Rhinolophus ferrumequinum: one gene and its partner. The main gene of each other region encodes a partner of the protein of the gene in region 2 in a complex. Links are inferred from orthologs where the notes say so. Each region holds a gene or a part of one and is shown on either strand. Other genes may lie near its edges.

The links.
Region 1: the proteins of PRKAA1 (region 2) and PRKAB1 are in contact, whole or in part, in a crystal structure (PDB 6C9H), measured with the Homo sapiens proteins. The link is inferred for Rhinolophus ferrumequinum from reciprocal best matches to the Homo sapiens genes PRKAA1 and PRKAB1. Residues at the interface, in NP_006242.5 of Homo sapiens: Gly20, Val22, Lys23, Ile24, Thr32, Lys40, Lys42, Asn59, Arg60, Ile63, Arg64, Val69, Ile72, Arg73, Ile76, Gln77, Val93, Ser95, Thr96, Pro97, Ser98, Asp99, Ile100, Phe101, Met145, Met175, Ser176, Asp177, Gly178, Glu179; in NP_006244.2 of Homo sapiens: Pro79, Val81, Arg83, Leu103, Pro104, Thr106, Val113, Ile115, Asp159, Phe160, Glu161, Val162, Phe163, Ala165, Leu166, Met167, Val168, Asp169, Ser170, Gln171, Arg201, Ala202, Pro203, Pro204, Ile205, Leu206, Pro207, Pro208, His209, Leu210.

What each region holds. Positions count from the first base shown.
Region 1 is NC_046308.1:12,607,626-12,623,500, reverse strand, and holds the start of PRKAB1 (5'-AMP-activated protein kinase subunit beta-1), read right to left. Parts: upstream 8,118-15,875; 5' UTR 8,008-8,117; intron 7,894-8,007; 5' UTR 7,806-7,893; coding exon 7,647-7,805; intron 5,324-7,646; coding exon 5,160-5,323; intron 3,957-5,159; coding exon 3,863-3,956; intron 3,594-3,862; coding exon 3,479-3,593; intron 1,398-3,478; coding exon 1,261-1,397; intron 1-1,260. UniProt on the Homo sapiens protein: Non-catalytic subunit of AMP-activated protein kinase (AMPK), an energy sensor protein kinase that plays a key role in regulating cellular energy metabolism.
Region 2 is NC_046290.1:27,135,513-27,152,353, forward strand, and holds the start of PRKAA1 (5'-AMP-activated protein kinase catalytic subunit alpha-1), read right to left. Parts: upstream 6,976-16,841; coding exon 6,849-6,975; intron 5,674-6,848; exon of another isoform or gene 5,553-5,673; intron 1-5,552. UniProt on the Homo sapiens protein: Catalytic subunit of AMP-activated protein kinase (AMPK), an energy sensor protein kinase that plays a key role in regulating cellular energy metabolism.

The DNA of each region.
Region 1 (15,875 bases), on a different chromosome or scaffold from region 2:
GCAGCGAAACAGCCTGTCCAGGATGACGGGCGAGGTGAGGGGGGTCACACCTCACTGATCAACTACGGGGTGCTCCCTGCGTGCCTGCTGGGCTCACGGGTGTGTCTCTGGTTACGTGGCCTCTGATATGTGGGCCATGGCTCTGTCCTCTCATGACAGGAGGGTCAGGAAGATACCATCTACACCACACGCTCCTGAGCAGTGGATTGCAAACTCGTGTCTGTAAGACTCAGATACGGTGCCTGAAGAATGAAATGCATGATTGGGGGAGTGGGAGAGGCACTGTTACTTACTCCACAGAAGCTCGCAAAGGACTGGCATTTAATGTTGCCACACCTTCCAGTTTTTTAAGAGAAACCAGAAATCTGGGTGTTTTTTTCCAATTCTATTCCTCAATTTTCCCATTGCTGATTCCACACAGAAAAGACGTAGGGCAAAAGCCAGCTCAGCTGTCAGGCGTGCACCTGGACACTCTCCATATGGGGAAACCTGCCCCGAGAGCGGTGGCTGCCTGGCTAACATACCACGGCCACTGCAGGGGTCGCCTGCACGCGTATGCACGCAGCTCATCTCGGTCCGTGCACCCACTTCTGTGTGGGGCCCGAGCCACAGCGCCGTGTGATTCCCACCTTATAACCCTGTGCCTTTTGGGTGGTGGCTTGGACAAAGCTGAAGGACCTCTAGACTCTCAAGATTTAGGCCGTGCGTTCCAGAGCTGGGGTGCTTGGCAATTCAGGTTAAACTGAGTGGAAAAATCACAAGGGAGGAATGAGGCGTTCTTCGGGATCCAGGAGGATCCGCGCTTCTTTCTGCAGGTAATACCGACCTCAGAGGAAGTGTGCGTTACCCAGATACCCCAAATTTTGATCTAAGGGCAGTGATGTTTCTGAAAGCGATTTGGTGATTAAAACAAGATTCTAAAAATTGGGGGCGAGACAAGGAATTCTATTATGTAGCTTACCGAGCAGGGGTGGTTGGATATCTTGTCATGAAATTGAAAAGGAATGGGGCCTAGGCTGAGGCAGGAGTGAAAGGCACGGAGAAAAGGTCAGAAAGGCTTTGTGGACTGGGGAGGCAGCCCCCACACTTGGGAACAGCTTGCGAGTGTGGCCTGTACCCGCATCAGAGGTGGACTCTGGCAGCCAATACTGATGAGTGACACTGAGCGTTTTCACCGGCTGCTTCGTGAGAGGTGGATGGAGAGAGGAGCAGCCGCACATGACCACGGAGGACGGAATGGGCGGACACCTGTGTACTCACAGAAATCCCCGTGTCCTTGTTCAGGATGACCTGGAGCAGATGCGGGGGCAGGATGGGTGGCGCTTTGAACCGTTCTTCTGGTTTTGAGATGTAGGGCTCCTGATGGTAGGGTCCTGGCGGGGAACTGGACAGCTCTCCTGGGAGATGGTGACAGCACATTTACTTGGACAATCAGTTCTAGAAGCAGTCTCATTTAATTGATGGCACTGTCTAGGGCTCCCTGTCTCTTGTTGCCTCAATACAAACTTACGTTCTCTTGAAGGATATACAGGCCTCAAGCGTGAAGAGCAGAGGCCATGAGAAAACCCTTCTGGTATTTGGGTGACTGGCATAAAAATTCAGCAGTGAACTCAGGTGCTGTGATGGAAGATGGCAGCTGTGGCAAAGCCAGTGAGTGTGGGGCAGACGGCAGACTAAGGAGGAAGAGGTTCCCAGTAGCCTAACTTGATATGCCGCCGCAGAATAAAACTACTTCTCGCTTCAAGCCGAGCTGGAAAAACTGCAAAGCTCAGGCTTCGAGTGAGGCTTAAGGGGGTAATCCCAAATTGTGAGCGCCACCAGCCAGAATAAAACAGAAGATAAAGCAGCCTGTTTATACACAGGCAGTGGCCAAAACAGGTTATACGAGGCACCGCACCAGCCCATTTCAAAACGAAACAAAACTGAAAACCTGACCTCTAAAGACTCCATCACTCTCCGGTTCCTTTCCAACTCTTGCTTGAGTATCTCAATTATACAGACAAAGAAGCTTCTAGAAGTCCAGTGTTTCTTAACTTTAAGCAGCAGCTCACTCAGTGATATTTGGCCAGCGGGAAGGGACCGAGCTGTTAGTCCAAGGACACCTAGGATGGGGCTGGGCGCCTGATCCTTGGGCTGTCTGGAATAAATCTGACACAGCCCGGCTCTGCCAGTTCCTTCCACATCATTTTCTAGAGAACCGGCTCCCTTCACATGACCCAACCGTATCACAGCAGGAAACTGAGAAAAGCATGAAGTGCAGAAAACTGAGCCATTAGGAGTAAATATACATTTTAAGAAAGTGTCTTTTCAGAAGTCTACAGAGAGCCTGAAATTGGTTTGCCAGCAGTGAGGGGTCAGTTTTCTTTTCCCAGGTGATCTATGCTGCAGAAATGTGACTAAAAGCTTTGGTATATGGCCTCAAATTATATTTATCGGTAAGTAGAGGATATTTGGGCCTTTCTTCTATTCAATGCCCACCTATCTGAAAAAGAAAGAAATGATTTCTTTAAAAAATTAGGCAACTAGCCAGACAGAAGAACGTGGTTTTTGGCATTCCTACTCAACCACCTGACTCGTCAGCCACAGCAAGCCCACCAAGGTCGATTTCCCACTGATTTCTGAGCTGAGAAGAGTAAGGGATGCTGCTGGCAGAACCTCCAGGGCTAGCCAGGTGACACTGAAGAATCATCCTGTAAACTCAACTGAGTCCATTTCCTTAGACTGGCAGGCAGTCCTGGGCAAGCTTTGCCCTGCCTCCTATAGGGGTCCAGGAATTGCTTAACCCCCGCAAGAACTGTTTAAACCCTGCAGTGCAACTGCTGTTGACACTTCAGATTACAACACATCCCTGCCCCTGAACTGTACGTATCATGTTTCCAGGCAGTTTCTTCCTGTGGGTTTGGATGGAAAGCAATTTACTGGAAGGTATGTGATTGGATGACTCTTAAAAGAGGAGGAAGTTTAAGGAGGCCTGCACTGAGCCGGCTGTGCTATGTAGCCTTTTTCCGTGGTGAGCCTTTCTCCCAACAAGGTGCTAATGTACCACACAAGTGACGGCCAAGGTCACAGGTGTCTGTTTATCACCCGTCAGGCCGAGTACCCCGAGTGGGTTGTGAGCAGGCAGGGAGCTGGCAGGCCTCCCAGCACTGGCTCACCACTGACCCACGGCCACTCCCGGGCCTCTTGGGCCCTGACCCGGCCCGAGACCAAGCTCTGGTTCCGTTTCAATGGTCTGCTCTCTGAATACTGGAGATGCCCCCTTCACCCCCCCCAAAAGGACTCACTACCCCCTCAGGGCTAGATTTCAACGACCTGACCTGACACAGTTAGGAATCAGTTTTGTGGCACTTTAGGGAGCTACAGACGTCCACCCGATTGGGCAGCTTGAGCTCAAGAGTGAGAGGTGAGAGAAACAAGAGTATGTCTAGACTGCGCAGCCCCCACCTGCACACACGTGGTATAAAATAACTGTTCATACCAGACACATCGGAGCACTTTTGGGAATCCACCATTAAAGCATCAAATACTTCAAAGTCAGTTTTCTTCACTTGAATGATGTTGTTAACTGTGCCAAGCTGGCTGGTTACTATTGGCTGGGAAGAGACAGACAGGCAGACGTCATAACGTGGAAGGCCTCTGGGTTTTTCTTTGGAGGACTTATAATTCCGGGCTGGAGGGGCTCAGCTCCTGGCTAGCCAACCTGCCCCTCTCGGGCAAGTATGCCAGGGGTCTGACAATCAGCGCTGCTGTCTAGCTCAGCCACACAGGGACTTTTCCCAGCAGGACAAAGGGACCTGGCGAAGATCTGTACGGGACGGTGACTTGTTTGGCTTATACAGACCGAGGGCGGGAGGAAGAGTACCTCAGAAGGGTCGTGTGTCCACTGACCGTCCACGAAGAACTTGTACTGATGCTCTCCTTCCGGCAGATCCAGAATGGCTACAAAGTTATTGTGGCTGCGAGGAAAAAGGAAGCGGAGGTTTTCAGCGGGGCAGGCTGCCCCCTTAGCTTACTTACAGAACCAGCCATAGAACAAAACTATTCCACGTAAAACCCAGAGTTCAGCTGCAGGAGAATAAACATTTTTAACCAATTCAGACATCTCAATAAAATGATCTCAATCTAGAAGACGTACAAAGCTGCAGCAATGCAAGAGATTTTCTTGAAAACTTACTTTGCTTCACTACCAGGAACCCACAAGCCTAGGTCAATCCACATCGAAAGGTCAACAAACAGCTACTTGTCCTTGTCAACTTGCAAGCGAACCACCACCTGGCAGACTGGATGCCAAGGAGGCCAGCAACACAAGATCAACGGCCTGCTGCCAAGTTTTACCCTGTCAGTTTGCCTTGGGCAGGAGAGGGGATCAATTTAATGGATGCACATTAAATAGTTCTCCAAAGAAGCTGGCAGAACTACTAAAGAGGTTCCAGAAAACCTCTTCCATTTGACTGTTTTGTTGCCCTGACTTGAAGTGACTTGTAACTGTACCCAGCAGCTCCCTCCACACTAACGTTAGCGCTAGAAAAGCAGGCAGGCCCCTGACAATGATCAAGCCTGGCCCAGCAGGGAACGATTTCTCCGTTTCCTCAAAGTGCTCACTAGTGAAGATGCTCCTTCACTGACAATTTCAGACAGAAGTCCATGCTAGGCTTCCCACTAAGTTGTTTTACTGTGTAGTCCTGCTAACGTTGCCTACGTAACATGTACCTTTCAAAGTCAGAAGGAACCTCAGAGATCACCTGGCCCAATATTCCCTCTTACAGATAGGAACACTGAGGCTCAGCTTAGCTCTGCCAATGTGGACTCAAATCCCGGCCTCGAAGATCCCAGCCTGGTGCTCTCTCCACTATACTAGGAATAGATTTCTCTCTCTCTGAAGAACAAGTCCTGCCTGAACAAACACACAGCAGACTATCTGAAGCAGAAGATGTCTGTGAAACAGAAATACTTGTAACCAAGAGATGTTTTCTCTAAGTGTGCTCTAAACCTAGAGAGTACTATGGGTGTGGGATCTGAACCCTATGAATTATTCGGCAAGATTATTTTTCCATTCAGCATTCATTTTATAAAAACATCCCTTTCCATCCACGTGCAGAGATCATTTAGAAACAGAATTATCTCTGGGTTAAGACATGTATACTCCCCGGGCCAATTACCTTCTTGTGAGGGGAAGCTTACTCCAGTTGTTAAAGGTCCCAGATAAGTACACTTCCTTTCCGCCCCCCGTCCATCGAAATACAGTTGGCCGCGCCTGGGCAGGAGCTTTATCATTCACTTCCAGATCATGCTGCCACGCCAGGAATTCTTCCTTCTCTGGAGCCTAGAAATAGAGCAGTTTACTCGGGGACAGGAAGTCGTTAGTGAGCTCCTTACACAGTTACCCCAACACTGACAATTCATTTTAAAGAGGCAGTGGTTACTGCACAGGATCATATTCAGGCTTGTTCACTGACCAGCTGTGCCTCAGTTTCCCCACTTGCAAAATGGAGATAACAGAAACTATTTAAGATTATTGTGAAGATTGAGAAAGTCCACAAAATGCTCTGCATAGTATCAGACACATAGTAAGTGTGTTACAAATTATTAGCTACTCTTGTTACTAAAAGAGGGCTACCTTAAGATTCTAGGAGAAACTATAAAACTCACTTGGAAGAAGGCTGCAATGAATTCAAAACTAGCTTAATAAAGGTCATTTTCTTCCCTTTATTAGGCAAGATTTGAAGTACATGAAAATTTATGAGGGGTAATTCCAGAGGTGTCAGCTTGAAAATTGGCAAATCCAGATTCTAAGGAAGGGAAAAACTATTCACTGAGTGTCGTCCACACGCTGGAGAAAAAGACTAAGACAAAGATTGACCTTCATTATGGTTAAAAAGGAACTTCTAGGGTAGGAAGTGATGTGTAACTGAGGTGTTCCAGAATAAGAGAAATAAACACGTTCAACTCGGGGTGAAATATATGTGGCTTTGGATCTTTTACATTTTTCCGAATCAGAAGGCAAAGACTTTAAAACAGCAGGAATTCCAGGATGGGAAAGACCCTTGAAGGTGCCTAGCAGCCTTCGAGCACCTTTACTCCAAATACTGACCTGAGCATATCTTAAAAAATGCCTGCATTCTTTGAGCTTAAAAAAGACCTACAGATTTAAGAATAACAGACCAGAATCACTTTCCACCGAGGATGTGCTAACTAACCACAGCCAAAATGGTAAACTAGTGTAGTTAAAAGAATCCATGACTTTTTTTTTTTTTTTGGCTATCTGGGGCATTCTATGCAGTGTCTCTGCTACACCATTTCAGAAACTTCTGAGGAAATGATAACGGACTATTGAAACTCATTCTCCACAGATTTTCTGTATGCTAAACATTTCTTAGAGGAGTTTTGGAACAGCAACAGAACAACAAATATTTCTTGAAGAAAACAGTTTCATTTTTATGATGTTTTAAACAGCCATCCTTGGGCCAAAATGATTTCTCAGGGAAGGGATGTCAAGTCGTTGGAGAAACAGGATTTCAATTGCACACAGCTCCTCAGGAATGCAACAGGTTCAGAAAGAAGTTCAATCACAGGATGGAAGGCCAAGTAGAAGCAGACTCTTTATATTAGAGCCAAGAGCCGAATGAGGATGTAAGAAAATAATGTGATCGCCCAGCCCAACGTCTAAGAAAAAGTGTGAGTCAAGTTGGAATGATTTGCCAGGCAATAAGCCTAATTAATGGACAATGATGATTAGTGTACAACTGAATACTAACAGAGAAAGTGTTGGGCTGAGTGGGAGGGGTGGGTATGCACCTTCATTTTCCCTGAACCTACTTTGTTGCATTGTCCTTAAGGAATTTTTTTTTGCTTTTTAGGCTACACCACATTACACATCAGCTGCCAGAATCATTAAGTGTCCTTGGACCAGGCTTCCCAGTTGGAAACAGACCACATCAGGTGGTTAACAGGAAAGTGGCTGAAGCAGGAGTCTAGAATCATCTTCAGAGTTTTTGATAAGTTAACGCAGACTGCCGCAGGAGGCTCAAATTTGGCCAAGCAAAAAATGTTTGCTTTGGTGTGTTTACAATATTAAGTCATTGAAACAACAGGGGAGAGAAGATGAATTGCCAAGGGGCCGCCTCCTTCAGACTGACACTTCACTTACCCGCTGACCCCCAGAAGTCCAATGACTTTTCTGTGCCCGCTCTAAATAAGCAGGGCGAACCAAAAATATTGGGCAGAACTAAACACCTCTGGTGGGTGCTCTGGTTTATCTCCAACATTGACAATAAACTGCAAAAACAACTATTACAAAAACTGCCAGTCTTCCTAAAGGTGAGGGACGGTTTCTCAAAGTTGTCAAATTAGAATACCCGAGAGAGAAAAGCAGAGACCGGGGCTATTACTGCTAGCTCCGCGATCTTAATTAAGAATTTGAAACTGTCCCAGAGCCGCCCTCTCCTTAATGATGTTACACGCAGTTCCTCCTCCCTCAGGGTGATTTTCTCATATCGGTAATTAGACACTGGCTCCCGGGCTACGAGGGATCTCACAGAGCCATCTGGCTTCTAAGCGCAGAGGGTGAAGTATCGCCTCCCTCCCACTTCTGATGATGAGTTTCAGAGGGGTTGTGGCGGGAATCGGATTCCCCCACCTCTCCTCACCTTGATTTCCTCCGAGTGGAAGAGGTCGGCGTCCTCAGGGCTGTCCATCAGGATCTTGGGCCTGTCCCCATCCTTGGCGCCCCCCGAGCTGTCCCTTCGGGGGGTCTTATGGCCGCCTTGGCGCTCCAGCGCGGCGCGCTCGCTGCTCGTGTTGCCCATGGCGGGGGGTCTACCGGGACACCAGGAAGCCGGACTTCACTCCAGGCAAAGTACAGGGGACTTCCGGAATCAGGGAGTCACAAGGACCCTAAGGAAAGAATCGGAGCACCGGGTACCGCACCGCTTGGGTTAGGGTTCCTGGCCGGGATCCGGTTTGAGCCGGATCAGCACCACTGGCAAGGTTTCACCATCGTGCCTTTACCTGCTCGGGTAGCGGAGGCGCGAGCTCCTGGAGCGCGAACATAACCCGACAGTCTCCCCGACAACTCCCCCCACCTCTTAGCAACTTCCGCTTCCGGCACTTCCGAAAAGGGGCGGGGCCCACGGGATAGTTTGGGCCGGCGAAGCGCATGAGGCTAAGTCTCCCTTATTTCCGTTTCCGGTCAGGATTGGCGCGGTCGCCGGCGCCGTGAGGCGGCCTCCTTGGGCCTCGGAGTGCGCAGTCGCAGTTGGCAGACCTAGCCGACCCAGAACGAGGCTGCTGAAGGCCGGCAGGGGGCGCACCAGCGCGCCGACCGTCTGGGCCGCCCTCCCCGCGCAGGGGTGAGTGATGCTACGGTATTTAGGGATCTTAGATGTCTTTCCCACTTCCAGTAGGTTCTAGGCTGTACAGCCAAAGGGCTCGTTGTAAAGGGCAAATCTAATTAAGAGACTCCTTTCGTTAAAGCCCTGTAATGCGCTAGTTCTCACACCGTTGAGTGCCTTAGAATCACCTCGAGTGTAAAATGACAGACCATAAGATTCCTGGAAGTTTCCCGTGTCTCGCTTGGGGGCTGTAAAATGTTGGAGTTATTAGTGTATTTTTTAAAAAGTGAGTGCACAGCCATTTTAGAGGTAATTTTGCAAGATGTTTTGTAATCACTCTGAACACATCATTCTGCATAAAATGCATTTATTTATTAGCGCTTGTCATTTACTGTAGCCAGTGCTTCAGCAAGTGTGTAAACATGTGGTACTAAAATATTCTACTCTTATCACTGTCATGGTTTCCTTGTGTGGGGGTTTTTTGTTTGTTTTGTTTTGTTTTTGCCTGTGAGTATCTCAAAATGCGTTGCGTTTGCTGGGCCTGGTCATGCATTTTGTCCGCTGAACAAACATTTATTTTGTACCTACAAAGTGCCAGACATTGTGCTAAGTAAATGGGAGACACAAATGACTAAGATGTGACCTCCTAGAGGGGAATTCGGCAGCATCTATGAAAATGAAAAATGCACCTTTATTTTGGTGCACAATTTTATTTATAGGAAACTTCTACAGAAACACATGAAAATTATATGCAAGCGCGTTCATTTGTAGCATTGTGTCTAGTGCCATAATACATTAATTCTGAGATGCACATTTTAATCTCTCTGAAACTGGGTGCTTCTGACAATCAGTGGAATCTTAGGTTTGATGAATTAAGGAAGTGAAAAGCTGCTAAATCCTAAAAAGTTTGTCAGCAGGAGAATGGCTTAATGAATTAAATACTCCATTTTATGGAATACTGAGTAAGCTTTGAAAAGGAAGAAATAAAAAAATAAAGCAGACAGAATATCACAAAAAGGGGAGGGGAAAAGAAAAGAGGATTACATGGGTAATAATGGAGAAGTGCCTATGACATTCCAAATCCCAAAAGCAAGTGGAGGTTAAGAGTCAGCCTGCCTCCGTTCAAATTCTGGCTTTATCACTTAGTAACCATCATCTTGGTTTCCTCTCTTGTGAAATGGGGAATAAAAATATCACCAACCTTATAGGCTTGTTTTATGAATTAATTGAGAACATGCACAAAAAGTGCCTAGCATAGCACCCGACTTAGTAAACATTCAATAAACATTAGCACTTTTATTGGCCTCATTATGGTTGGCAAATTGGAAGTTCTGGAAAGATGTACAACACGCTGTTAATAGTGGTCCCCTCTGGGAAGAGAAGCGGATTGGAAAAGGAGCAGATAGAAAGGGAACTTTCACTCTTCAGTTTATTTGAAAACTTTTCTATCTTAAGGATATACTGCTTTTGTAATTTAAAAACAAATATTAGAAGACCAAATAAGACATGGTTTCCAGCCTGAGAAGGATCCATAGAGTAGAGGTGGAAATAGACTCGCAGAAAGGCAATAATACAGGTAGGCCAGGGGTTCTATGGGAGCCCAGAAGGGACTCAGGCTAGGCCAACGGGTAACCCAGGATGCATTCTTTGAGCTGTTTTTCTTGCTCATAATAGTCAGGACATGAAAATGATGAGTTTTGGGGTCTCTCCCACACAACTTGAGAGATAAGGAAGAACACATGAGCTGTACACCCCTAATCTGAGCTATGCAGATGCTTTCATGCATGAAGAAAGTTTCAAGACTTCTGCTCTGGCTTGGATAAGATAACTGATATCCCATGGATGCTTTCTGTGTTTTTTCAACCAATGAGACAGCCCAGTAACTGGGGCTGTGCAGGTGTACCCCGCATAGGAACGCCTCCCCAAGGAGGCAAGTAGTTTCTGAGATTCCACCTGCCTGGAGGAACGGGTGCCTTTTCCTAATTTGGACAAATACACCATAGGCACTAGCAGTGGCCCTGGCCTCGATTAAGTAAAACAAACCATCCCGGGGCTGGTCCTAGGACAGATGGTAGAGGTGTACAGTTTATCCTTTTCCAATTCATTTTATGCACACTGTCTAACAAGACGACCCCTCCACCCCAACCATCAGAATCTAACTGGGTCATGACACTTGTTCTAGTTAACATTTAATTTTTAGAGGCCTCCAGTTTTCTAACTTCATTAATTCGTTTCTTTATCCGTAATTATGTATGGTGCAACTACTAGCTGCCAGGCATTGTGGTAGACCTGGGGATACAATGATGGGCAAAACTAGACCCACATTCCATGCTCGTAGTGTTTATGATCTAGTAGGGAAGCAATAGTTAGATACGTTAGTCGTATAATCATCTAACAGTCATGTGTGACAAATACTAGGAAGGAGAAATATGACCTAGTGAGAGGTATGTGACTTAGTCAGGAAGTGAGGGAAGGCTTCCGGGAGGAAATGACAATTAATTTGAGATTTGAAGACTGCAGGTGTTAACAGTGAAATTTGTTTATCAAGCCCTATTATGTGTGTGGCATTGTGCTTGGTATATCAACTTGTAATCCCCCAAGAGTCCTGTGAGGGATCTATTATTATTATCACTTGTATTTTATAGATGAGGAGACTGAAGCTCAGAGAGGTGAAGTGACTTGTTCAAGGTCACACAGCTAGGAATTCATGGGAACCAGTATTCAAACGCAGGCAGCCAGACTAATGCAGAAATGTGGGCATTATGGATAGAACATTGAGTGAAGGGTGAAATTATTTGGGGCAAGCCAATGGGTCAGGCTGATTAAGATTATAAATATAAAGCTGGAATGGTCACTCAGCAAAGAAGTCAAACTAGGTGATGTGTTTTTTTGTTGTGTTGTAACATCTATGACTTTTATAACTATGGATCCATGTTTCTAATTTTTACAAAACGCACTGACATCTGAAAGGTGGAGGTCATGAATTGCTTGGTGTAAGATACTAAATCAAGTAGGTGGGATAACATATTAAATAGCGAATAAGGTTAACAGCAATGATAGTGATCGTGGCAGGCAATGCCCCCATCATCCCCTAGGTGGCAATAAAGAGCAATGAAAAATATTCCCACGATCTTCCAAGAACTTATATGTCTACATTTTTAGGTATGAATAAACATGGTAAAAACTTCAAGTAGCACAGGAGGTGTTGAATAAAAAACAAAAGTATAAAAAACACCTTATTCTAGATCCCTATTTCCTTTCCCCCAAAATAACCTGAGAGTTTCTAGTATACTTTTGGGGGGCCCCGTTTGTTATAATTATGTAACTTTTCCCAGAAAAAATGTTTGCTTATATCTCTCTCATTTAAAAAATGGACAAAAAAAAATGGACACAGTTGGGACTTTTTCCCCCTCAATATATATTTCCATGTCAACACATACAGATCTCCTTCCTTTTTTTTTAAATGGCTGCAGACTCCATAACAGTAATAGTTGACATTTATAGAGTGCTTACTATATTCTTGGAACTGTCCTAAGCACTTTTCTTGTTTTAACCCATTTAATCCTCACAAAGCCCAACGAGGTGCATTCTATTATTATCCCCACTTTATATATGAGGAAACTAAGGCACGTGGGTAAGTAACTTGCTCAACATTGCAAAGCTAGTATGTGGTGGACCAGCATTTAAATGCAGGGGACTTGACTCCTGAGTCTCCACTCTTTTAACTACCATGCTAAACTTCTGTAGCATACATGTATCAAATGTGACTTAGTCTCTATATTCTCAATACTCTCAAAAAAGTATTTATCTTTTAAAAACTGTGCTAAAATATGCTGCTGTAAAATATAGCCGGGATTTTGATTTTGTTCACGTGTGGTAAGGCCAATGGATCAGGAGACGACTGCTGTTGAAAAGATAGTTTATTCCTGTCAGTTCCCGGGAGGAGGGGGTTATGCCAGTCCTCTCAGGGCCACAAGAGAGAACCCTGAGGTTGGTTGCAGGCAGAGTGAGGGGACAGCATGTGCAAAAAGCCCTCATTGTGGTTTCTGAGCAAAAGAATGGGCGAGGAAAGGCAAGCAGCTGAGCACGTTTGGGATTGGATAGTCTGAATAATTTTGGTGGGCTCTGGGCTGTACGGGGTGGTCCCTAGTGCTCTGGTACCTGGCCCTGGGATGATAAGGACAGAGGCCTCCTGGAGGGTAAAAGCCAGAGAGAGGAGGTGGTTCAGAGTATGGGCTCTGGATTGGTTGGCTTGCACATTCCAGGCAAGTCATTTACTATCGGTAGAGGTGGATTAACCTTGGGAGGGGCGATCTCTCCCTGGTCACTGAGGCCCCAAGATGTCAAAGCATCATGAAATATAGAAAATAAAAAACATGATTAATACATGTACATAACATAAAATGTATCATTTTAAGCATTTTTAGGTGTGCCGTTCAGTGGCATCACGTCCATTCACATAGTTGTGCAACCGACAGCACCATCCATCCATCTCCAGAACAGTTCATCTTGCAAAACTGAAACTCTGTGCCTGTTACACGATACCTCCCCATTGCCCTTTCCCGGAAGTCCTTGACAACTATTATCCTACTTTCTGTCTCTATGAGTTTGACTATTCCAGGTACCTCATCTAGGTGGAATGACAGTATTTGTCATTTTGTGACTGGCGTATTTCACTTAGCATAAAGCCATCAAGGCTCACCCACGTTAGAGCAGTGTCAGAATGTCCTTCCTTTTTAAGCGTGAATAATTCTCCATTGTGTGTGTATACGCATTTTGTTTATCCGTTCATCCATGGTTGGACTCTTGGGCTGCTTCCACCTTTTGTCTATTGTGGATAATGCCGTGATGCACGTAGGTGTACAAATATCTCAGAGCTCTGCTTTCAGTTCTTTTTGGTATATATCCAGGAGGGGAATTGATGGATCAGATGGTAATTCTGTTTTTTAATTTTTTGAGGAACTGCTGTACTGTTTTCATCATGGCTGCCCCAGTTTATATTCCCGCCCACAGTGCACAATGGTTCCAGTTTCTCCACGTCCTCCTATATTTTCTTCAGAAGTTTTATCATTGTGGATTTTACATTGAGATCTATGATCCGTTTGAGTCAGTTTAGATGTGTGGTGTGAGGTGTGGATTGGGGTTTATTTTTTGGAATATGGATGCTCAGTTGTTCCTAGCACCATCTGTTGAAAACACTCTATTCTTTCCCCCATTGAATTCCTTTTGCACTTTTGTTAAAAATCGATTGACCATAGATGTGCAGGTCTGTTTTTCAACTCTTTTGTTCTATTCATCGCTGTGTCTATCTTATCACCAATATCACACTTTATCGGTAACTGTAGCTTTATTGTAAGTCTTGAAATCAGGAAGTATGAGTCCTACAACTTTGCTCTTCTTTTTCAAAATTGATTCCGTTCTTCTGGGTCTTTTGCCATTGCATATAAATTTTAGACTCAGCTTATCAGTTTCTGCAAATAGTCCTGTTGAGATGTTGATGAGGATTATTGTCTTTTTATTTATTCACACATTTAACATTTCCAGTACTTTTTATTTTTGTTCATAAACACTAATTTCCATTTGGTTTCATTTCCCTTCATCCCAAAGGACTTCCTTTAGCATTTCTTGTACTGCAGATCTGCTGGCAACCAACTCTCTAAGTTTTTGTTTAGCTGAAAATGTCTTTATTTCACTTTCATTTTTGAAGGATATTTTCCACTGGAGCTTGACAGTTCTTTTTCCTTTCAGTATTTTAAAATTGTCATTCCACTGTATTCTGTATTCCATTGTTTCTGATGAGAAGTCAATTATTTTTACTATTGTTTCCATGTATGTAATGTATCTTTTTTCCCTCTGGCTGCTTTTTATATATTTTTTCTTTGTCGTTGCTTTCCAGCAGTTTGCATAAGTGTATTTTCCTATGAATTTATCTGGATCAGGGTTTTTTGAGCTTCTTAAATATGTGGGCTGATATTTTTAATAAAATGTGGAAAAAATGTAGTTGATATTTCTTTAAGAATTTTTAAAATTCTCTCTCTCCTTTCCCCCTCTCACCTCCCCCCTTTGCCTTTCTCTCTTCTATTATTTAGGAATCCAATTACATATATGGCAAATGCTTGATATTGTTCTACAAATCACTGAAGCTCTATTTTGTTTTTAAATCGGTTTCTTGCTCTCCTTCAGTTTGAATAATTTTTATTGATTTATCTTTAAGTTCCTGATCCTTTGTTCTGTACTGTGCAAATGCTGTTAATTCCGTACAAATAATTTCAGAATTGATAATTCTCAGTTCTAAGATTGCCAGTTTTTCTTAGTTTCCATATGTCTCCTGAAATTCTCCATCTCTTCACTCACTATATTAATCTTTTCTTCTAGATTCTTTAACATATTTATCAGTTGTTTTAAAGCACTTGCCCACTTATTTTAACATCTGCATTATCTTTGGGTCTGTTTCTATTAACTTTTTTTCTCTTGACAATAATGCCCTCCTGCTGCTTTACCTGTTTAGTGATTTTTAAATTTTGTACTGGACATTGTGGATAATGTATTGCAGAGACTCTGGGTTCTGTTATCTTACTCAGAAAAGTGTTGGGTTTTGTTTTACCTGGCAGTTTAATTGCTAGTGACTCATCTTTATATGGAAGCATAATTTTAGGCTTCATTTGTGTGGGTCAATTTTGGTTTTTCACCTCCGGGGCTACCAAGCTCCTCTCATTTGGTGGAACTTGAACTCCAAACTCTGCCTCCCTAGCAATGAGCAGCTGCTGAAATCTCTGCTCACTTCTTTAAACTTTCTAGCTTTTTTTATCCCCCTGCTGGGCTGCACATGTACACTTTAGGAGTCAGCCAAGGATTTGAGGGGAGTTTAAATTCCGATTTTTGGGCCCCTGCTCTGTGTCTCTATCTTTTCTGGAATTTCTCCTCTCAATTTCCAGCCACCCTGGGAGCTCCAAACCACAACCTATGATTTTTCCGCCCAATAAGACTGTTGCTTTCTGCTTGAGTTTTATTCTCTGTGTGCTATGCAGACCCTTCAAAGAAAAGACAGTGGGTGATTCCCTTTTTTCAAGGGTCATTTGAAAGAACTTCCTTTCCAGTTTTTGCATGCTGTTGGTTGTTTTCAAGGCCGTCCATATTTAAAAAGGTTGTATCCTGAGTTTGTAGCTGTATAGGCATCAGACTCAGTCCATTATAATTACTCCGTTACTGGAAGCCAGAGTTCAACAACCTTCCTTCCCTCCTTCCTTCCTTCCTTCCTTCCTTCTTTCCTTCCTTCTTTTCTTTCTTGTGTTTCTTCCTTCTTTTCTTTCTTGTGTTTCTCCAGGGCCCATCAGCTCCAAGTTGTTGTCCTTTAATCTAGTTGTGGAGGGCGCAGCTCACTGGCCCATGTGGGAATCGAACTGGCAACCCGGTTGTTCAGAGCTCACACTCTAACCAACTTAGCCATCTGGCTGCCCCTTCAACAGTCTTTCTTGATGGAAGTTTTGTTTCTCAGCTTGGACTTTCACTAATAACACTACCATTGTATAGCAACCTGACTAAGCC
Region 2 (16,841 bases):
AGGAACACCAGCAGCCACCAGAAGCTGGAAGAGGCAAGGAACCAGATTCTCTCCTAGACCTTCAAAAGGACTGTGACCCTGCTAACCTTGATTTTGGACTTCTGGCCTCCAGAATTGAGAGAGAATAAATGTGTTGTTTTAAGGCACCCAGTTTGTGGTACTGTGTTACTATAGCCCTAGGAAACGAATACAGTTAAGTTTATCAGTTTATAAGTGAGTTTTCTAAAATATGATATTCACCATTAACAAGCAAACAAAAGTAGTAGTATTTTTGAAAACAGGTTTTCTATACTGTACTACACATGCCTAAGTATTCTTCAATGGAACACACTGTACATGACGCCAGAACCAAGCAGGTGTTCAGCGTGTGTGAGCATTAGTTACTCCCCTGTGCCCTCACCCAGTGACATCCATAGGAGTTACTTACCTGCATAGGACTTCTCGCTCCTAGACTATTACTATGTTCCAGCGTGTGGTGTTCTGCTCTCTGAAGTTGTGCCTCATCATTCACAGACTATCAGGAGTCAACTCTTACAGCCCCCTCTTCAGTGTTCTAATTTGGGGATTCTAATTTTCTATGGGCTAGAAAAGTCATAAAACTAAAATTATAATAGATTTTCTAAAGTATGCTCTACCAAACACTAGTACTGGAAACTCCACAGAAAAAGATTTCATCATCTTTTTGTCCTGGGAAAGGACTTACGTCCTGGGAAAGGACATACGTTCTCTTTTTTGGAAACTCTCACTATGCATATTAACACAGTAAAGGCTCTGAAAAGCCCCATAGTAGAGAATCCTGTTAAAATTTGTTTAACCTGGTATTTCCCAGGCTTAATTGGATACAGGTTTTTCCTTCCAAGGTTTTCAAATGTCCCAACATTGATGACTACAATATTTTCTTTCAGTACAGGCAGTATCCCTCTGACTATTCTTTTCCTCCCTCTTTCTTCCCAGCAATCTTGGTAATTTAAGGCCATCATATGATGATAATCTGTTATGTTTTCCTTACTTATAGGAACAGAAATATTTGCCTTGATCCCAATTACTAAAATATTTCAATATTAGAATTCCAGTAGCATAATACTTTTGAAAATACAGTGTCTTATAGCTCAGGAAACACACATTATCACATTTGAGCCTCACAATAAACCTATGATGCAGGTAATATGAGACAAAGAGAGATGATGCAATTTGTGGAGGTAAAGCTATTAAGTGATTCCGTTGGGACAGGTTTTCTGACTCCGAGTCTTCTGACCTATCCACTATACCCGACCATCACTGTGCACGAGAGGGGAAAAAGGGCTTGGCACAACAGCAACACCTGAACTCTTTCCTCAAAACTACACTCAAGATTCTCCATTGACTAAACTCAGCTGCAGCCAAATTAATTGCTGTTCCACAGTCAATCGATGTCGTAAATGGACTTTGTCAGGAATATGCATTACTAAGAGAATTCCCCCTTTTCCAAAACTCAAAATTGTATTCTGCACACTGTGACTGTGACAGCAGTGCTAAGGTGCTACTTTTGAACGAAATAGAAGACAGATACTTCTGCCATGTAAGATCTGTATATCATTCATAGGAAAAGCTACCAGAATTCATCACAGCAGATTAGTCAACTAAATATTAGCTACCGTGTTTACCCGAAAATAAAACCTAGCTAGACCATCAGCTCTAATGTGTCTTTTGGAGCAAAAATTAATATAAGACCTGGTCTTATTTTACTATAAGACCAGATCTTATATAATTAATATAATAAAGTATAATATAATATAATACGGGGGGAGGAGGGAACACGGTAGTAACAACCTGTTCTTGCTCTCTAAAGGGAACTTTTTCAAACTGTAAAACATTGTAACAGATGCTTTTCTAATCAGATATGTAATCCTGAAGTGAAACAAGATCATACTTTGAAAGAGAGGATTTTAAATAGTAAAGAGATGTCACAAAGACAAAAATATCTACTGAAGATATTAAAATAACCTAATGATTTCATTCCCATTCTAAAATTAAAAGAATACAAATCTCACTTATAAAAGTATTATGGAAAACACAATCCTGGAGAGGAGTTAAACTTTAAAAGCTATAGGTGGAAATTTGAGCATGCTACCTTTTCTTAACAAAACATTTCAGGCATCCCAAAAGGCAAACCAAGTACCCATGTCTCACCCACCACTAGCTTAAGCAACAAAACAGTATAAATATAACTGAAGCTCAGCAGGACTCTTCCCAGATCTTTCTCCCTCTTCTCTCCCCAGAGATAACCACTATCTTGAATGTGGTGTTTGTCTTTCCCACAAATGAATCCATAAACAATACAGTAACATTGTTTTTCATATATTTATGTTTCTAATTTAATTTTCTGTATTCTTTTGAACACATAATACTTGCAATACACAATTCAAAAGTACAAAAGGATATACAGTGAAATATACCTGCTACCTGGTTCTCTCCTGAACAACTAGTGTAACAGTTTCACGTGTATCTTTAAAAAGACACTCCATGCAGTTGCAAGCAATTACAACTAGATACATATTTGCCCTGCTTTTTATATATACAGTAAGTATACTACACACACTATTCTACTACCCCCTTATTTTTCCTCTTTAAAATACACCTTGGAAATTACTCTCTAAATATATAAAGTATCTTGCTTTTTTTCCTTAGTTTCCAAAGTATATCACGGTATTAATAAACCATAACGTAACTATTGTCCTATTAGAAAGGTTACTTCCAATCGTTTGCATGTATAAACAATATGGCAACGAATAACTCATTGTTTCACAAGCATGAATGTATCTTCTCCCTCCACCTGACAGGGGTATCCTCCATTTTAGGGGCCATCAATTTTATTACTACAATCATTAACATAAACCCCCCCCCCCCCCCCGCCCTATCTCAATACCAAACACCAATCTTCGCACGGTCTGTCCTAATTATAGTTGTACTCCTTCTGCTATCCCTTCCCATCCTGGCCGCCGGAATTACCATACTACTGACCGACAGCAACCTAAATTACTACCTTCTCTGACCCCCTCAGGAGGAGGAGACACTATCCTGTACCAACATCTGTTCTGATTCTTTGGCCACCCCGAAATCTATATTCTCATTTTACCCAGATTCGAATCATCTCCCACATTGTTACCTGCTACTCAGGCAAAAAAGAACCCTTCGGATACATGGGTATGGTCTGCACTATATCAATCAGTTTCCTGGGCTTTATTGTGTGAGCCCAATAAATTCCATGAGTAAATTCCTAGAAGTTGAATTAACTGGGTTAATTTTAATAAATACTTTCACACTATCGAGGCAGTACCAATTTATACTCCCACCAGCAATGTATGAGTGTTTTTGCATGTTTTTTAAATATATATGAATAACATGACTGTACATATTCTTGTACTTATGCTTTTGTGGCCTAACCTTACATACTTGAGATTCACTCATGCTGATATATATATAGCTCTAGTGCATATACAGATGTTTTTAATTAAAGAAATGTGCAAATAACTTCCACTGTGATTCATTCACAAAAAGAACAGTCACCTATTTACCTGAAATTGCAGTTTTATGTAGAAATACTCACCAACTTAATAGGTTCTATGTATAAACAACTTCTTTGCCAAAGACCACCCACCCTACTAAAAAGACAGCCTTCTCTTCTCTTGGAAAATTAACCAAAAGTGCCATTTTAATTTACTGCAGTAGTCACAGGACTTTGTTCATTCATGCTTTTGTAACTGTTCTACCTGGGAGGAAAGGGGAATGGCCCAGCACGAGAGTAGAGACTAACACCTTGACAACCAGAAAAAAACAATACCTTAGAAGTAAAACAGGAGAATTCAAGCATAATTCCAAATTAACCCTACTTGTCTGTTTAAACTTTCCCCTCAAAATGTTATTGTTACCAAAGGATTTTTTAAGCCTGTAACAGGAAAAAAATAATCACTATGAATTTACAGTCCACTCCTTCCCAAAAATTAAATTTCCTCTAAGCGTGGACTATTACATTGGGAATTTTTCTGTATTGCATTATCACATCTAGATTTCTTTTCTATGATTAATTCACCAATATATTTAGTTTTAAAAGCTCTATCTACTCCAAATTGTCTCCATTGAAATATATGGCTAATCATATTAGTCATAAAAATTCTTACCAAATTAAGGCCAGTGTAAGATACCAATGTCACCAGTAAACTAGCTAATTTTGTCTGCTCACTGAGCATCTATGTACCCGTCTCTCTCCTAATAATTAATACCCATTTCTGTGTAGGTATCTATCCTGTCCCCTCACACCATCCAAGTACCTCAGAAGAAGATGCCCTTAATAATACTGAATGTCAACTGCAACTGAAAAATAATTTTTTTTAAATGCCCTCCCCCCAACACACACACACATATATCCAAGAGTGGGCCATATTCCCCCAAGGGTAATTCCATCTCCCTTGCTAGGGCCTACTTAGGAACACAGGCCTAAGCCATTGGCACAAGGCATCCCAGGCCAGAGGGACTGGATAAACCAACAAGACTCATGAGAGGTACGCTGGGACTTCCTTGCTCTGGAGAGAACCAAGGGAAGAGATTTTCTTGGCTAGGTTGAGTTGGATTTTCTATTACGTGGGGCAAAAAGCATCCTACCTATTTAACAACTTAAAAAATGCACTGGTTGAGGATTTTGACCGACATCAACTAATGTATTTATGAACAAATTGAACCATACCTACGAAACCTATGATCCTTTGACTACTGTTGTCCTTGCTACATTTGGAGAGGTTGCTGACTTTGACAGTGTGTGGGACACTTCAACAGAGGCACATGTGGAGGAGTGAAGGTTAAGGAACAGCGGTCACTGGAGGGATTCATGTCAAAGCCACATCACAGATCAAATCCAGAAAACAAAAAAATTTCCTCTTGCTTTCCTATCTGCCATGCCAAAAGCCACCTAGCAAAAAAGAAAATGAGACCTGACTCTGCTCAGATCTGTATTAGGAGAATGATGAGCATCCTAATCCAAGCAGAACTCTGGGAGGGGTGGACATCAAGATTGTCATCACTATGTTGCGGGCATTAATGAGCATTTCTTACAAATACCGTGTTTCCCCAAAAGTAAGATCTAGCTGGACAATCAGCTCTAATGCGTCTTTTGGAGCAAAAATTAATGTAAGACCCAGTATTACATTACATTAAAGACCTTTATAATATATATTATAGTGTTATACCTTTATATAATATGTTTTATCTTTATAATATATAAATACATTATATATCTTTATTATATAACATAATATAATATAATATAATACCGGGTCTTATATTAATTTTAACTCCAAAAGATGCATTAGAGCTGCTTGTCCAGCTAGGTCTTATTTTGGGGGAAACACAGTACCTACTTGTAAATTAAAAGAAAAGTTTGGAAACGCTAACATAAAAATAGAGACAGCACAGCCAAAATAAGTAACTTCAAGGACACAGAAACATCTTCCTGACCTAATACAGACCCACCCTAATGGTTGTGATTACCCTATTCTGGCATTTGCTTCTTACTTTCTTACATTGTAGGCCTTGCTGATTTTTCACAAGGTTTAGGCAGTTGCTTCCTGTGAGCTATACAGCAATTTTCCAGTTCTATGACTCAGAAAGGACAAGAGAAGGAAGGGTTCTCCTCTTCCATCCCTAGATAAAATCAGAAAATGTTTATTTAGCTCTGGTAGAGCAAGACTAATTTAATTCACTGTACAGATTTTCACAAACTTTTTTTTCTTTTAAGTATTTACCTAGCGCTTAGTATAGTCAAGTCACACACTATTATTTATTCAAAGCCTTTCCATGAATTATTATCAGCTCCGTATTTCCTTCCTTTGCATCATCCCTAATAAAAAAGTCAAATACCTAAAAAAATTATGCGTCACAAAGTTTGCAATTAAACCTGTGCCACAATTGGTAGATTGGAGCAAGTTTGCTATTTTCAAATACCGTGTTGAAACACAAGGGTAAGAGAGTCCACACTTTTCTTAAAAAAAAAAAAAAAAATCAAACGATGTGCACTAAATTGTTCATTAAAATATAAATACCCCGTGAAAACACATGGAAAGGAGCTGCATTAATGAACTAATATACTATCTGGAGGCAACATCTGCACTAACTACCGGGTTTGGCATACAGACTGCAAAACTGGTAATTCAGACACACTAAAGGCACGGAGTCTGCATTCTGAATATAAACCATGCATCACAAGTATTGGACCAGTTTATGTTCATTAACTGCTCCGAAAAAAATTAGTTATCCTTTCCGACAAGATGGCTTTTTTTTTCTTTTTTTTTAAATGATTCTCTAAGCTACCCCGAGACTTTGGTGCTAACAGATTTCACACTGGAGAATCAGCCTGAACAGGTGAGTAGACAGCCTTTCTAAAGAGGACAGAAATAAGGACAATGCTAAAGAATGCCAGGGAACCGATGGGCTGGTCCTGAGCGGAGGGAGAACAGCCTCTGTTCCCCGGGGCTCTGGGAGGAGACCCCGACGCCCCCACCCAGCACTCGGAGCGCGCCGCGCAGCCCCCGACCGCCCACCTGAGAAAGTTCGCACCTCCGCATCCCCGCCCCTCGCACGGACCAGCCCCTGGCGCCGCCGTCGCCATGGTGACCGGTCCCCACCCCACCCCCACCCGGCCCGGGAGGGCCGCGCCGCAGCCCGGCGGCCGCGTTGGGCTCCGCTCCCGCCGGCGGGAGGACCGGGGCTGCGGAGCCCGAGACGAGGAACGCAGGGGCCGGGGGAGGATGAAGAGGTGTGAAAAGCGGAAGTCGCCTGGGTCCTGGGATTGGGCCGTGGCTTGCCCCGGGGGTCCTCACCCTTCACTTTGCCGAAGGTGCCGACTCCCAGCGTGTCCCCCAGGATGTAGTGGCCGATCTTCACCCGCCCGTCGTGTTTCTGCTTCTCGGTTGTCGCCATCTTTCTCCAGGAACTGAGTCTGCGCATGGCGCCGCGGGAGGGGGGCGGAGGGGGCGGGCAGGGCCGCGCCGGGGGCGGGCGGGCGGCCGGGCGGGGAGGGGGTGGGGACGCGGGAGGGCAGCCGCGCCGCGGAGCCGCCGCCCTGCGCAGCCCGCGGAGGCCCCGCCGCCCGCCGTCGGGCGCAGACGCTCCCCCTGGCGGGGCGGGAGGGGGTCGCTAGGAGGGGCACCGGTGTCCCCTTCCTCGCCCTGCATCCCTTCGGCCTGGGGCGCCCGCCCACCTGCGCGGCAGCCCCCTGGCTCCTTTCCTCTCTGCGTCTAAGTGTTACTCTGGGTGGGGGAGCCGCTCTCCTTGTGATTCCAAGCGGGAAGATGGGCACGGGGAAGCCCGCTTGGGTAGGGCAGATGGACGGCTTGTTACTCGTGCAGCGCGAATTGGAACCTGGTTGGAGATACCGCACTGCCACTGTCGTCAAACCTTTTGGTTTTCCCTTCGCGGTGGGATCTAGAAACCTTTGGGAGTTGTCACTTGCATCTTTGATAGTTTCCATCGCCTCCTGTCTTCCCTCCCTCCCGGTCTCCAGCGTCTCTTTTTATTTTTACTGTGAACCAGAAGTTGTTACTATTGGGCACCTGGACAGCTCAAGTAACGTTGCCGGTCTCTCTTCCTGCTGGACGCTTTCCTGAAATTTCCTCCCCAAAGCAAACTCTGTCGGAAGGAACAGGTTAGGGATACGTATTTGTGTTCGGGGCCTGAGATGTATAGGAATTACTATTTTAGATTATCAGTAAAATACAGAGTTGAACTGAACTGAAAACAAGGATTACTGTTGCATCAACCAGATCAGTTGACAAATATTTATTGTACTAGAAATGAGTAAGATTTAGTCTATTATCAATACAAATGGGATCACGCCATATCAGAGGGGAAGTTGAGAAAGTATACTTATTTGTAATAGAATTTTTAAGTGAGTTTGTTAGTCAATTATAATCCCCTAACATGGACAAAAATCAAGTGCCCCCCCCAAAAAAAACAACAACAACAGTTTATAGGATCTCAATTTTGCAGTGTCATAGCATTTGGGCTAGTGTCAGGCAGAGTTGAACTCATCATGAAAATAGTATAAAAAGTAAAAGACTAAAAATATCACCTTTTTTTCTAGTGAAAGTTACCCAACTCTCCTGATTTTTATATACTTTCTGTTTATGACATCAAAGTACCATGTTTTAACTGCTTTGATCCAAGCAAGGTGCTGCAGGAGAAGCAAAAGCATTTGAGTTTAGAATTACATAAAATAAGCAGAGAACAGTTACAACTCTCCTTGGGTAGATCATCAGTTCCTACTCTACTATGAACAGCACATATTTTGAAGGGCAAAAATGTTAAGAAATCTTTGATGTGAGATTTGGGGCGGGGGAGGGGTGGGCAGGCAGTGGTTACTGTTGTAATTTTTGCTTTCTGGTTTCTTCACCTTTACCCATTTGCCTTGAGAGTTTCTGCAGCTCAGGCTCTTTGGATAGCTACAAAGCAGAAAGAGATCTCTGGATTCTCTTAGAGGAAAAAACTTTTAAGTTTTCCCACCAGAAATAGCATCTTAAATTAACTTTAAATTTGCATCATGTCTAGAATTTAGCCCAGCAAGTTTCTGTTATTTCTTTTAACCTAAAAGGGAAAAAAAAAAAGGTATCTCAGCTCTATAGGGTGCCAATTAAGCCACAGAGCATCTTACCAGGGAGCAAATTGAAGTTGAATTTTGAAAACCCACTGCCAATATCTTTATGAAACTTTGAAGACCCAATTAAGAAAGTAATATAGACTATATTTTAGCAGAAACATCAGTTTGTTTCTGCTTTTGTATTATTTTAGATTATAATTCTATTTAATAAATATTCATTAAATACCACTATTTACTCAAAAGCATTGTTGGGGGAAACAAAACCTAAAATCATAGATCAAAGAATTGAATAGGAACTTAGAAGCCATCTTATCCAATCTCCCATAGTCTGTTTAAGCAACTTTTATTGCTGTTTCTTTTTTCTTATGTTGTGTTCAAAACTGAATCCGGTTAACAGTTTCTAAGAAAGTAATGAGCTGCCTTTAATCCTTTGCTTTATCTCTTTCCTTCATTCTTTTTTAAAAATTGTTGTCACATTTTCTTCCACTCTCTCTTCCTTTAATTCTCCCATTGATCCATTGTCTAGACCTTCATTTCCTTCTTTTCTCCCAGCATCTGTTAACCTCCAGACACTGTGGACAGATAGAAAATGAAAAGTCATGTTCCTTACCCTGGAGGAGCTCATAATCTGGGATGGCAGTTCCCCCTCCCCTCCCCAAGGATAGATAATATTCACATGTTCAACATTTTCCAGGGTAAAAGCAAAGATAAGGTAGACTGGCTTACACCCAGTTTCAGGACCCATCAGTTGCAGCTTTGCCACTATCGAAGCAAAGTATATTGGAATGTAAGTGGGCAGGAGTGACATTATAGAAGTAGCCTTGAATCTACTCGAGTTTAAGAGGAGGGGAAAAAGTAGTTTTCATACTTCAGTACTTCAGCTTTTATTAGCACAAATAAGTTGCAGTACATCACAGTGCTGATGAAGACTACCAACCAGGTGGACCCATCGCTGGTGGAGAACCTCCGGTCTCGGAGGAGCATTAGTTACTTGTCAGCTGCTTGCTCTGTAGCCCTTCAGAGATTCTAAGGGAGATGTGAGTCCTTAGTCTTTTCTTAAGACTGTCACAGTGTTAGTAGACCCTGCACTGTCAAGTGGATATTACACTTCCTCAATGCCTATCTCTAAACATGGTGTCCAGAACTAAAAATTCTGAGAACTACACTGCTTTTAATGCAGCCTAATATTTCCTTAGCTTAGTTGTCATTACATTGTAACTAATATTTATTGAACAACAACCAGGTAGGCATTAGGCAGTTTGCTCGACTCTGAGGACTCAAAAAGCAAAGGTTCACAGTATCTGCCTCCAACAAGGCAAAGCAATATCATAGGTGCTATAATAAAAATATATATGTATGGTCCTAAAAGGGCATTATGAGAGGAGGGCATAACCTTTATCAGTGGAGGTCCACAAAAGTTTGAACTTGAATCCATTTAAGGGAGTATTTAGACATGGTGCTTTGTACTCAAGGAAAAACGTGGTATGGGGTATCGGGGAACTTGGAGGAAGCATCCCAAGTAAGGGGACCAACATATGCAAAATCACAGGGAAGGAAGTCTTAGGCTTTGTGGAGAAGAGCAAGTGGTTACAGGGGATGAAATCTGGATGTACACAGCGACTCCTTAGAAGAAAGGAGAGGTAAACAGAACTAAATCCTGAAAGGCCTCATGTGCGCTTCTCAATTTGGTCATTATCTTACAGTGATGAGCCATGGGAGGATGTGAAGTCAATGCATTTTAGAAATACATTCTTTACCAAAGAAACTGATGGCTATTGGTGCCTTTAGCAAGGGAACCTGGGTGACTAAGTCCAGCACAAGGGGCAGACTTTCCTGTGTATCCTTTTGCAACTTTTTGTTTTCAAACCTTATGAATATATTACAGAGTCAAAAAAAATTAACTTTAAAAAAATATATTTTTAAACTCACTTTGTATGGAAGATATACTGGAGAAGAGCAAGACCAAAGTGGTGGTAAAACAGGAGACTTGCAATCATCGAGTGAAGAAATGAGGAGGCAAGCACCACGTATGAAAAGGAAAAACTCTAGGAGTATTTAGAAGTGGAATTAGCGAGGTACAGAGATTGATGTGGACAGAGAGAGAAAGGAAGAAATCTTAATTACCTCCTAGGATTCTGGAGAGATTGTTGGAAGGATGGGAAATAGAGGGGTTCAATAGAAATAATGAATCCATTCATAACGTTAGGGCATCTAAGAGACATTCAGGTAAGGATATCCAGGAATATACTCCAAAAAACCGTCAGTCTAGAGATACACATTGGGTATCATCACCAAACAAATGGCCGATGAAGTAGGGCAATGATTGAGGATGAGATCTCCCCGGTTTGTAGAGTTAAGGGATCCAAGGACAGAACACTTCCTTAGAGAACATGAATAATTAAGAAGATCTGCAAGCAATATAAACCTATGGAAGACACAGAAAAAAAAAGTAGTCAATTTATGTTTGAATGTCCCCAAGAAGTTACAGTGATTACAATTAGTTTGTGGATAATTGTTAACTAGGGTAGATGATTCCTAACTCTTGGTTTGAATTTTTTTTTTAGGTTAAAACGTTTGCAACCCCTTCATGATGACGAATTTTAAGCTTCAACCTTAATGGTATAAGCCCAGAACTGTTTTCTGGGGAAAATCTTAGCACTGTTCACAGACTCCCTTGGACTATCTCTATCTAGGTGGGTGTAGTTGGTTGGTCCCGATAAGGTCCTTGTAATAAGAAAATGTCAACCCTGCTGTCTCTCAGTTGATTCACTGAGTATCAGGCACATTGATCTTTGTTGCTCTATTTTAAGGGAAATAGATGGAAGGGTAGACTGATAGTCTAAATTGTACCCCTGGATCAATTGAGATCATGGGTGGGGGGAGAGATAATTATACTGCCCTGTTTCTGGTTGCTGTTAAACATGCTTTTACTCAAATTGGTAATACAAGGGGTTGATAAACATCGACACCTTGAACAGGCTAATAATTTGGCTCTCTATTCAGACTAGTAAGTTGGTCCCCATCAAAACAATATTCTTGAAAAATTTTTTCAACATTTAAGTTGAAAGAAAGAGGACTGCTGAAACAGTGTACCAGGGAACAGACACTGTGGTGACCAGCCCTGACTTCTTGGACAGCAGTAACCGGCCATCTAAACATGCATTTTGTGAGGTGGGAGGTCTTATCCCACTCCAGGTGACTTATCAAAGTAGTTGTTTTTAGCCACATCCTTCCGAGCAGACCTTGGATAAATGAAAATTCGAGTTATGCTTTGGCGCTTCAGAGATGTGTGGTCTCCCTTTCTAGACTGGCCCAGTTTAGCTCCCTCCAGTCTGCTGCTGCTGCTCTGTCCTCAGTGCAGGAGTCCACTGAGGGTGCTGGAAAAGCAGACATGCAAAGCAGCCTTACTTTGGCTCTCCCCAATTTACAGCCTACCTCTAACAAAAATGAACCTGCTAAAGGCATGTGTTTTAGTATTCCAATCTCATCCCTGTATTTATTGTATTTTCCTTCCCCTAAGTTCCTTATTTCCTCATTTATTTATTTTGCTGGAATTATTACTCTTTAGGTTTCCCAGATACTTTTTGTTTTTTAAAAGACTATTTTTTAGAACAGCTTTAGATTTATAGGAAAAATGTGAAGATAGTACAGAGTTCTCATAGACTTGGTTTCCCACATTATCAACATCTTACATTATGTGGTACATTTCTTAACAATTAATGAGCCAATATTGATTTGTTATCATTAACTGAAGTCCATACTTTATTCCAATTTCTTTAGTTTTTGTCTAATGTTATTTTTCTGTTTCAGAATCCCATCCAGGAGCCACATTATATTTAGTTGTCATGTCTCCTTAGATTGGCTCTGATAATTATTCAGATATTCCTGGTTTTGATGACCTTGATACTATTAAGGTGTATTGGTCAGGTATTTCGTAGCCCCATCCATACTAATTTAAATATGACTTCATACTGATCCATATAACCAACTCTAATCTATTACACATAGATTATTTTAGCCTCTTCCCTTAGCTTATTTGTAAACTCCCACTCTAACAGGAAGAAATCTAGCTTCCATTATCTAACATTCATTTATTTAATTGTTCAATTTGAGTATGTATTTGCGGAAGTAACAGAATTCTTAACCTTACCCCTATGGATAACGATTTTATCAACTTGAGTCCAATGCTTGATACAGATCCTCTTGTCTTTTATCTTACAGACCCCACTCATTTCCAAGTGGTAATCTTGTACTCCACCATTTTCTTAGGTAAGCACGTATTCCCTCCACCATTTTCAGTGAGGTGGTTTCATACATGTATAATTCAAATAGATTATATTGTCACAGTCTGCATTCCATCCTAGGATCCCCCAACCTCTGTTTTAACTGCCTCCTATTCACCTTGTTGGTGAAGGAGGAATTCCCTCCGTAGGGTTATGAGGGCAAAACACACAATACCCAACACAGGACAGATGATATCAAATCTTCTGTCACACAAACATCTATTGGTCACACAAACTCACAGCCTAGGGGAAGAAGGCAGTACATATCACTCAGGGCCACATGGAGGTTGCTCTCAGGATCAGAATGAACAACCTTGCAGTATCAAGAGGGTGGGCTGGCCCCTGGTTCCTGTAAAGAATGTGATTAGCTGTTTGGATAATTCTACAAGCTGCCAGTGAACTGAAACCCACTACTCAGGGGTTAGCAATAACTGTGCCTGGTCCGTTTGGTAAGGAGGGTTGTATAGCTAGAGAAACTTACCTATGCGAGCAGAGTTGGGAGGGGTATTTACAGTTAGGACATCCTAGGCTCTACCAAGTTTTCCAATGTCAAGATAACACATAATATGGAGTTTTAATATTAGGCCTTACACCACAACCTCCCAAATGATTTATTTTATTTATTTATTTTTATTGGGGAAGGGGAACAGGACTTTATTGGGGAACAGTGTGTACTACCAGGACTTTTTTCCAAGTCAAGGTGTTGTCCTTTCAATCTTAGTTGTGGAGGGTGACGTTCAGCTTCAAGTTGTTGTCCTTTCAGTCTTAGTTGCAGAAGGTGCAGCTCACCTCCAGGTCCAGTTGCTTGTGCTAGTTGCAGGGGGCACAGCCCACCATCCCTTGCGGGACTCGAGGGGTTGAACCAGCAACCTTGTGGTTGAGAGCCCACTGGCCTGGCTCATGTGGGAATCGAACCGGCAGCCTTCAGAGTTAGGAGCACGGAGCTCCTACCGCCTGAGCCACCGGGCTGGCCCCCAAATGATTTTTTAAAATTTGCATGCATTAAGTTTCACTCCACGCTATAAAGTTTTGTGGGTTTTGACAACAGTACAATGTCATGTATCTACTATACGGGATCATACAGAATATTTCACTACCTTAAAAAATATGTGCTTCATATATTCAACCCTTCTCTTTTCCCTGTCTCTCTAATTTTGCCTTTTTCAGAATGTCATATAATTGGAATCATACAGCATGTAGTCTTTACACACTGGTTTCTTTCCCTTTGCAATATCCATTTAAAGGTTATCTATATCTGTTCTATGACCCTTAAATGCTTTTAAATAAGGAAAATCTAAAACATTTTTAAAATTAAGGAAGGTTGGTCTCCATTGTAAAATATTTTCCTCAAATATTTTAAAATATTTTATATTTCCTGAAAGAATCTTACAATGATACAGCTGTGTTACAAGTTATGTTAAACATATCAAGAGGATATACTCTGAAAAACTGAGCCGTTATATAGCTTTAGTGGTTTCCTTCAATAACCAATAAATTACATAAGAAAATATTTTGATTTTTTTCTTTTTCAGTAATATTATTCCTTACATATGTAATCAGTACATATTATTAATTTAATCTATTTCTCCTACACAGAGCAAAATATTTAAATTCAGGTACACTATGAAACATATAGAGCTTTTAATTTCAGAAATTAAATTGGTTTAAATTAAATTAAATTGGAACTCCAAGGTTGTTCATTCATATGGAAATTTTGTTTTCTTCATGTTAGGAATTTGTTCTAACTCTAGTATATTTTATTTTTACTAAAATGGTTATAGATTACTTGACTGAAATTTTAACATGGAGAATCTTCTAGTTGCTTTATTGGATTATATACATTATAATTGACCTATACTAAAAAACTTTTTGTTTTGTCTGGAATTAATACTTTGTCATGTTTTTTTCATTTGCTTAGATTTCTATGTACTTATCACAAATTCAACCCAAACTTTTCCTAAAATCTCTCAAGACATTGAAATACATGAAGTGTGTAATATGCAGAAGGTGTTAATACATTGTCAGCAGATTTTATTCAGGTTGATCTGACAAAGAGCTCTAAGCTGTGTTAAAACGATCTTTGGTAAACTTCAGAGAGAGGCCTGTGATTTCTCTAGGGTCAAACTCCTACAGTATGGGGTGGATTTCCCAGTGCCAGGCCCCTGCAGTGTGAGCGGCTTCTCCAGTGCCCGGTTCCTGCCATGAGCACTGGCCGGAGGCACCTGGTGACCAGCTTTCCCCAGAGCCCCTTCAGGCAGCTTCACAGCAGAACGCTGTTGGGCAGGGCATTTTCCCATGAAGGACTTCCCCAGTCATCCCTCTGGTGGCTTTCCAGCAAATTCCAGAAGCAAGACACTTCAACATCCAGTGAGCTATGCTACACCTTTTCTGACATCTGCATCTCAGCTTCAGGGGTGGGAGGCTTTTTCCTTGGGTGCTCTATCTCAGCTCTAGGCGTACTGGCTGCTCCTGATTTCTGCTCTTCCCACATTCGGTAGAGTTCTCTTTAATTTTTACTAGCCAATCCCTTAATACCCCAATCCCTTGTATTAAACCTTTCCTGTTCAAGTTACTAGGTGATTTGTCTCCTCAATGAACCTTGACCTATATACCAACTATTTTTGTTAGATGTTTATATTTTTATCCTCTACATGTTATTTCTGATATTTATATAATGAAATATTTTTTTTAGTCAAATAACTGATGCTTTCTTGTTTTGCAAATACTAAATCCATCTACAAGGATTTTAGCATTGGTCTAAACTCAAGACAATGAAAAATACCAGAAGACAGAATGGGATACTGTCTTTGAATCTATTAGTTGATCTATTCAGATTCTAAGAGTTGTCTCTGATGAATATGAAAGGTATTCAAAATTTAACTGTTCAAAAATTTAAAACTATTGAGGATTTTATTCCATAATGTATTCTCTCATAAGGCTTTTTTTTGGAGGAAGGGGATCAGGAAAGAGCAGACTTGCACTGATCAAGATGACTGGAAAATGGCTTGCTATTGCCTTATAAAAAGTTAATTCAATGCTAAAATTATGTATGTGAATGGTATCTTGATCTCTATATTTTACAGTGTATGATTAGCACTGTGGCTCCACATCCAGGCCATAGATGACTAAGAACTCTATTGAATGAAGACAAATGTGCTATAAAACTCTTACATTGTACAATGTCTTTATTAATTAAAAGAATGCATTCCAACAACACTCACTGTTGTCAGAATCTTTACCAGAGAAAGAAAATATATACCTTTAACAGATTCCTCTGTGCCTTAGTTTTCTCCTCTCCCAAGTAGTTTTATTACACCATCTCTCGTCTCTTGCAACTTTAAAAGCACAGTGCCCTACTGAGCTATCTCAAAGGTTTTGTCCCCAGAGGTTTCTCTCCAGAGCCATCCCTAATTGGACAGTACTTCTCTCTGAGGCTTCCTGCTTCCTTTCTCTCTCCTCCCTTGGGAAGCTGCTTCTCCTCTGAGGGTTGCTCCCCTGTGACACAGGGTCCATGCACAGGTTCAGCTCTGACTCCGCCTTTTCCACTCTGAGGTGGCTGAACCAAATAGAGCCAACCTTTCCTTTCTCCTGTTTGCTCAACATAGTTGTTTCTAAAATAATACTGTTTGTCACCTGGTATACCATTTGCTTCCTCCTCAGTGCCCTCTACCACCTGCCCTAACTTGAAGCTAGACCTTTCTCTAATACCCTGTTTTACCAGGCCTTTTTTTAAAAAAGAACTTTCCCCTACAGGCCTTACTAATTTCTCCGTAATATAACACTCAGTTTAAATCATTTGAAACATTTTTGAGAGCAAAGCAAATACTTTTTATATTCCCTAGGTGTTTATTTGCAGAGGTATGTAACACTATCAGAATGGGGCTTTTCTTGCCTCAGAACTACCAAAACTTACTTTCACTCACACACACACACAC